Linked DNA regions of Xenopus tropicalis. The protein of the gene in region 2 binds, or shares a complex with, the protein of the main gene of each other region. Links are inferred from orthologs where the notes say so. Each region holds a gene or a part of one and is shown on either strand. Other genes may lie near its edges. The genes, in order: ppfibp1 and ppfia1.

Evidence for each region.
Region 1: ppfia1 (region 2) and ppfibp1 share a complex: the UniProt entries of both Homo sapiens proteins name them as parts of the cortical microtubule stabilization complex. The link is inferred for Xenopus tropicalis from reciprocal best matches to the Homo sapiens genes PPFIA1 and PPFIBP1.

What each region holds. Positions count from the first base shown.
Region 1 is NC_030679.2:2,636,366-2,640,180, forward strand, and holds part of ppfibp1 (liprin-beta-1), read right to left. Parts: intron 2,933-3,815; coding exon 2,871-2,932; intron 2,607-2,870; coding exon 2,522-2,606; intron 2,413-2,521; coding exon 2,264-2,412; intron 1,551-2,263; coding exon 1,417-1,550; intron 229-1,416; coding exon 175-228; intron 1-174. UniProt on the Homo sapiens protein: May regulate the disassembly of focal adhesions. Did not bind receptor-like tyrosine phosphatases type 2A.
Region 2 is NC_030680.2:14,517,921-14,521,735, reverse strand, and holds part of ppfia1 (liprin-alpha-1), read right to left. Parts: intron 3,751-3,815; coding exon 3,649-3,750; intron 3,439-3,648; coding exon 3,217-3,438; intron 2,068-3,216; coding exon 1,921-2,067; intron 744-1,920; coding exon 609-743; intron 1-608. UniProt on the Homo sapiens protein: May regulate the disassembly of focal adhesions. May localize receptor-like tyrosine phosphatases type 2A at specific sites on the plasma membrane, possibly regulating their interaction with the extracellular environment and their association with substrates.

The DNA.
Region 1 (3,815 bases), on a different chromosome or scaffold from region 2:
AATTAAAGGGGAACTAAACATAAAAAAAATACATTGAGACAGGAGAGTAAAGGGCAAGTAAACCCCAAAGTACAATGTCATGTATGCCCCCCCCGGTGGTCATACTGTCAGCAAAGATGGAGGAAGGGCTGTTTTGGTCGGGCACTATTGGGCGATACCCATTGGCAGACTTACCCCGGGGTCTGTGGGGGCGTGGCTTCGGCGGAAGGGCTGCTGGCCTGGCCGTCCCTGGGAAAAACAAAACAGAGGTGGAATTAATGCTCTCGGGAATGCAGGGGCCTCAGCGATTGGCCGATAGGAACTTTAAAGGCAACATTAAATGACTGTGTTTTTAGGGCTCTTTCACTGCCTTGGGGGAACAGTGCCCCCTAGTGGTAAAGTATGGAACCCCCACTGGCCCTAAAGAGTTCAGTGACTTGTGCAGGTGGATATGTTGGCCAGAGAAGGGTTAAAAAGTCCCAGGAGTCTCTGGATTAATTGACAGACTCTCCCACAACTACAACTCCCAGCATCCCCTGCCTGAATGCTATGCCCCTCCCCCTCCCATCACTTCTACTGGGGATCCCTTATCCTTAGTTTATAGCATCCCCAAAACTACAACTCCCAGCATCCCCTGCCTGAATGCTATGCCCCTCCCCCTCCCATCACTTCTACTGGGGATCCCTTATCCTTAGTTTATAGCATCCCCAAAACTACAACTCCCAGCATCCCCTGCCTGAATGCTATGCCCCTCCCCCTCCCATCACTTCTACTGGGGATCCCTTATCCTTAGTTTGGAGCATCCCCAAAACTACAACTCCCAGCATCCCCTGCCTGAATGCTATGCCCCTCCCCCTCCCATCACTTCTACTGGGGATCCCTTATCCTTAGTTTATAGCATCCCCAAAACTACAACTCCCAGCATCCCCTGCCTGAATGCTATGCACCCCCCCTCCCATCACTTCTACTGGGGATCCCTTATCCTTAGTTTGAAGCATCCCCAAAACTACAACTCCCAGCATCCCCTGCCTGAATGCTATGCACCTCCCCCTCCCATCACTTCTACTGGGGATCCCTTATCCTTAGTTTGAAGCATCCCCAAAACTACAACTCCCAGCATCCCCTGCCTGAATGCTATGCCCCTCCCCCTCCCATCACTTCTACTGGGGATCCCTTATCCTTAGTTTGTAGCATCCCCCAAAACTACAACTCCCAGCATCCCCTGCCTGAATGCTATGCACCTCCCCCTCCCATCACTTCTACTGGGGATCCCTTATCCTTAGTTTGAAGCATCCCCAAAACTACAACTCCCAGCATCCCCTGCCTGCCGTGGATCAGCACCATCATAAAATCCCAATGGTTCCCCCAGAATCAGAAAAGCAAGAAGATCACGGGGCGAGGGGCAGGGAAACCCCAGACACGGGGAGGGGCATTTACCCAACGTCAAGGGGAGAGGCGTCCATGTTGGGCGAAGGAGCTGACTCTTCATTCTGCCGCTGGAAGGGCCGGAGCGAGGAGAAGGAGGGGATGGAGACCTGCAGGATACTCGTGTGCAACTCCACCTTGGGCTGCTGGAAACAGAACCAGGGGCTCATTCAGCCTCTTATCCAATAGGATTGCTTTGCCTTCTACTTCTGACTCTTTGCAGCTTTCAAATGGGGGTCACTGACCCCGGCAACCAAACCCTATTGCTCTGTGAGGCTCCAGTTTTATTGTTACTTTTTATTCCTTATCTTTCTATACAGCCCCTCCCCTATCCATATTCCAGTCTTTCATCCAAACCACTCCCTGGTTACTAAGGTAACTTGGACCCTAGCAACCAAAAACATATTGCTCTGTGAGGCTCCAGTTTTATTGTTATTGTTACTTTTTATTCCTTATCTTTCTATTCAGCCCCTCCCCTATCCATATTCCTGTCTTTCATCCAAACCACTCCCTGGTTACTAAGGTAACTTGGATCCTAGCAACCAAAACCCTATTGCTCTGTGAGGCTCCAGTTTTATTGTTATTGTTACTTTTTATTCCTTATCTTTCTATTCAGCCCCTCCCCTATTCATATACCAGTCTCTCATTCCAACCACTCCCTGGTTGCTAAGGTAACTTGGACCCTAGCAACCAGATAGCTGCTGAAACTCCAAACTGCAGAGCTGTTGAACTGAAAATGAAATAACTAAAAAACTACAAATAATAAAAAATGAAGACCAATTGCAAATTGTCTCAGAATATTACTCTCTACATCATACTAAGAGTTAATTCAAAGGGGAACCCCCCCCCAGGTACTTACCTCCTGAGCCGCGGGGAGTTCCTCAGGGCTGGGGGTGGTCGATATGGGGAGAGGGGAGGGAGACTTGTCCGCGTCACTCAGCGCGATGCCATCGAACACCAGCGAATTGGAGCCGGATATCACCGAGTCGTCACTTTCCACGTCTTTGCCTGAAAGCAAAACCCCCAAACGTTGGAGCCCACAGACCCCCAATATCTTGTTTCCATAGAAAATGCTGGGATTAAAGGGGAAATTGACCAAAGGCCACGGAATATTTACCTTTTTTACCTTGCGCCATAACCACCATGTCCTGCACCTTCTTGTACCGGTTCAGAGACTGCCTGAGCTCCTCTATCTTCTGCTCCTGTGGGGGGACAGGTAAGGGGCAATAAGTGGGGGTGCCCTTTTGTATGTGGCCCCTCCCACCCAGGAGCAAATTCAGAGGGTTTTAAACCTATTAAAGAACTGGCTACTGGCTGCTGAAGGATGCTGGGAGTTGTAGTCCAACAACAGTTTGGACACTAGAGGGAGAGTTTATGAAGTGGGGTGAATTCTCATTGGCTGAGGGAGGGGACGGGGGGCACTATAGGGTAATGGTACTGCCCCCCGGGGGGGCCGCGCTACGCACCTTCTCCTCGTTGGCAGCCTGTAGCGACTCCATTGCCTTCTTCATCTTCTGCACCTCGACATCTGCAGGGAGGCAACAGGGTGTTTGTGGGTAGGGGAGGAGTCTGAGTAATGACGTACCCCCCCCCCCCCCCCCGAGAGCATTCATTACTGCCCACATACCCAATAATAACAGTGTGGGGGTGACACGCGGATCAGCCCCGTCTCACCAGGCAGTCTCCCTGATTCTGTGTCTATAGCAACGGACACCAGCCTGACCATGGGAAAGAGAGCAGCCCAGGAGCAGGAAGTACAGAGAATCAGAGCTCTGTACCTGGGTAAGTACTGGGGGGAGATTGGATTCACTTACCCAGGGGGGGGTTCCTGCCTGACCATGGGAAAGAGAGCAGCCCAGGAGCAGGAAGTACAGAGAATCAGAGCTCTGTACCTGGGTAAGTACTGGGGGGAGATTGGATTCACTTACCCAGGGGGGGTTCCTGCTGACCATGGGAAAGAGAGCAGCCCAGGAGCAGGAAGTACAGAGAATCAGAGCTCTGTACCTGGGTAAGTACTGGGGGGAGATTGGATTCACTTACCAGGGGGAGGGTTCCTGCCTGACCATGGGAAAGAGAGCAGCCCAGGAGCAGGAAGTACAGAGAATCAGAGCTCTGTACCTGGGTAAGTACTGGGGGGAGATTGGATTCACTTACCCAGGGGGGGTTCCTGCCTGACCATGGGAAAGAGAGCAGCCCAGGAGCAGGAAGTACAGAGAATCAGAGCTCTGTACCTGGGTAAGTACTGGGGGGAGATTGGATTCACTTACCCAGGGGGGGTTCCTGCCTGACCATGGGAAAGAGAGCAGCCCAGGAGCAGGAAGTACAGAGAATCAGAGCTCTGTACCTGGGTAAGTACTGGGGGGAGATTGGATTCACTTACCCAGGGGGGGGGTTCCTGCCTGACCATGGGA
Region 2 (3,815 bases):
TGCCCTTGTCACGCGTCTATGCATAACTGATATGCAAGTTTCCAGGCAGTTTTTGCAGAAGGTAGGTACATAAACTGCATGTGTTGATGAAACTTTATTTGTAACTTTCATGACACAGCCGGGCCCCATTTGAAAGAAGATACACTGTGGCTGGTGCAACAGTAACCCCACTCTCTACCCCCGATGGCGGCCCCAGAAAACATTATTAAGAAAGAGAGTACAGAAAAGCTAAATAGGAGCAAAACACAAGAAAGTCAAGGGAAAAAGGGGTAAAGGAGCTAAAAGGCAAAGGACAAAAGAAAATAGAAAAAGCAATGGCTCAGACAGGAGAATAGGGAACAAAAAGGCCGTACAATAAGGATATTGGCACAAGGGGTGAGTCGGAGCTGACACTTAAGCTTTTTCGAGCTTGGCAGGGGCAACAAAAAGCTTGGAATACCCCCCATTCATTATTGTGCTAAATGCTCGTAGGCCCCGTGTGTATTACCCACAAACAGTATATTCAGACCTGGGCAGTAAACAAAAGTCACTACGTACCAGGCAGAAAGGAGGCCGTGCTGGCAGGTAGCGCAGCCACCCCAGCCCTGGCATGTGATCGCTCTATTTACCTTTGAAAGAGCAGCCACTCGCTGTGCCAGTTCTGCTTCTACCTCGGGCAGTGTTTCTGCTTTCCTCAGAGTCTGCTGCAGCTTCTGCTCCGCCAGCTCAAGCCGCTCCTGGATTTGCCGGTTCTTCTCTTCACTCTGAGTTGGGGCACAAAAAGTGAGGTTGTTAGGGACACTTCTCTTTTCCAACAGGAAAAGGTAATTTAAAAGGGGCAGTATACCCCATTGTTCAACATAAGTAAAACAAATAGCATAAAATTGTATAGTAAATGCTTTTACATTTTACCAATTTTCATTACAAAAAAAAATGTTTTTTGTTATTTCTTGACCTAAACAGGGCAAACAGGGACACCGAAGTTACACCATGTGTGGTCCTTGAGAAGTAGATAATTAGATTACCCTTCCCTTCTAAGGCGAAGACACAAGGGGGTGATTAGTCACCACAACTTTTTAAAACCGTTTAAAAAAAAAAAAAATTTGCAGCAACTAATTGATGTGCCACAAATAGCAATTAGTCGCGGCGACTTGTACATTAGTCTATGGCGGCTAAATCGTAGCTGTGGTGACTAATGTATCTTCTAGGGACGCACCAAATGCACTTTTTTGGGATTTTGAAAATTGGCAACTTCTGTGTTTATGTGACAAAAAGTTATGTGATCTTTAGGATTCGGATTCGGTTTGGCCAGGAGCTTGGAATCCTGCGGAAAAAGGCCAAATCCCAAACCGAATCCTGGATTCGGTGCATCCCTAATGTCTTCGCCCTACTCCATGCTACTCCATGTTTGATCTTGGTGCTCAATGAGCACATAATGGACGCCTGCTAACAAGACTCACAATAAGGTTGAAGACACGGAGCTACTTAGAGCAGCTACTTCACGCCAGAAAAGACCCTGCCATAGACAATACTAAGAACTGCTTCTGGTAAAACACACAGAGACAATTATCAGTAAATGATCAGCACTGACTGTTTTAGTAGCCATGACAAGTAGCTGCTACTAAGAGGCTCTCTCTGTGTGTCTTCACCCTCATAGCAGGAGTCCATTATGTGCTGACTGAGCACCAAGACCAAACATGGAGTAGCTTCAATTTTCCTTTTATTTCTTGAACTGATCAGGGCAAACAAAAACTTGATTTTTTTTAAACTCATGTTGAAGAAGGGGTACACTGGGCCTTTAAAAAATGATCTCCACCCCTTCTCTTTTGCATAGTGAAAGAAAATAAAATTCTAAGCAATTCAGTGAAAACACTAGTTTTGCAACAAATCCTTCCAAATGAACAGACCCAAGCAGTTAGCAGCCTTGGCCTGCAGCATTACCTGTCTCAGAGCAGACTCCTTATTAGCGATTTCATTTTCAAGTTTATCGTTGAGGTCGTGCACAGAGGTGGCTTCACGCTGTGCGGCGAGGTAGCGTTTTTCAAGAGTGGTGATTCTCTCTTCCATGTCATCCTTCTGGGCCATGGCCTGAAAAAAACATTACAGCTGGTAAGTAATTCATACAGGGGGGAAAGGTTTGTGTATCAATACTGCTAGATTACAAATGGTCAAAATAATGAAATAAACCAGGCACCTGGAACATGGAAAAAAAGGTAGAGTTTATCTTAACATGAAATTAATTAATATAGTAAAAGTATGTTTTCACATGCGCAGGTATGGGCTATACTCGGAACCTGGGGTTTCACAAATACAAAGAGAATATCAGAGCTGTGTAGAGTTTCTAGGTAATAGTCCCATACTTGTATTAACCTTCCTAGCCTTTTTACATTCTGCTACTGAACATGCACTCTGGTATTACCTGGCAATCAAAAAAGGGGTAAACAATGTGCCTTTAAATCTTCAGTTCTTACTTGCAAAGTGCTCCATGGCAACTAGGGCCATTAAGCCCTAGCAACAAACATTTAAAATTAGAAGCCTGAATGTTTTAGAACCAAATAAAAATTGTGCTACTGCCTACACCATACTAAGTTCATTAGAAAGGCAGCTCACTGCTGTCATACATTAACCTACCAGCACCTCCCAGCTGTATTTCTCTAATTTAACCCAATAATTCGAGCATCCATTCGGAGCTGTTTCCGAATCTAGCATCTGCTATCTTAAGCAAACGGAGAAAGCTTCTAAAGCCGTTTACTCAGGTATGGTAATGGTTTCTGCAGCATAAATATATTGTTCTAGGTGGCACTAATGTGGCAAATCTATTGGCAGTAAAATGCCAAAATTACTTTCCTTCACCTTTAAGGAAGAGATGTAAAGGGATTTTTTTTTTTTAAAGTGCTTTACCCACTACATCAAATCTTAAAGCAAACCAACAGAGATAATGTTTGCTCTCAAAATTAGGCCTGGGTGCAAAATTTATACTAGGGCCGCCGCCTCCCAAACCTGTGCTTGCCATCCTCCGTACCAAAGATCACAGCAACCCTATGTGGACCCAGAACACCCCAAAGGTGAGGGCCTTATGCAGTGGCACCCCTAGCCCCTCTGAGTATTCTATACATTGCTATGTCCCTGGGCAGCTCCCCAGTGACCCAGAGCTCTCTAAACTAATGGGATGGGTATAACTAGTACAGGGAGAAGCAGTGTTTCTTTCTTAATAATTGTACTGACTTTCCCTCTCACCTCTCGTACGTCCCGTTGAAGTTTTGAGTTCATTTCTTCGGATTTGATGAGGTCCTTCCTTGCAGTATCGAGGTCTTCTTCTAGCTCTGTTACCCGGTTGGAAAGAACAGCCAGGCGCTCCTTCATTTGAACTTGCTCCTTGGTTTGTTTCTCTATGATATCCTGGAGCTCCATCACTTTAGATAGGTCCTCATTATGATTTATAGAGCAATCTGATGATCTCTGTCATAAAAAAAAAAAAAATAATAAATAGCGGTAATCCATTTTAATCCAAAAATGTTATATTTAGGGGAGATGGATTAGGTTATCCAGGTCCAAACTGTCCATATCTATATTTACTGGAGACATAAACCAATACCAAAGCTACAACTGGACTTACAAGCACCATTACATATGCCAACATTGCCAGCAGCCGTGTTTGAACCATCTCACCTTCCCGTTAGCGTTAAGTGCGTTCTCTTGCTCGTGGTTGACATCGGCTGTACCGTCATTGAATATTTTCTTCTGATTATTCTGCTCTCTTGAAATCATCAGCTGAAAACAGACACATTTTGGCAAAAATCAGTTTGACGCATTTAAAGGACTCCCATCCAGAACAG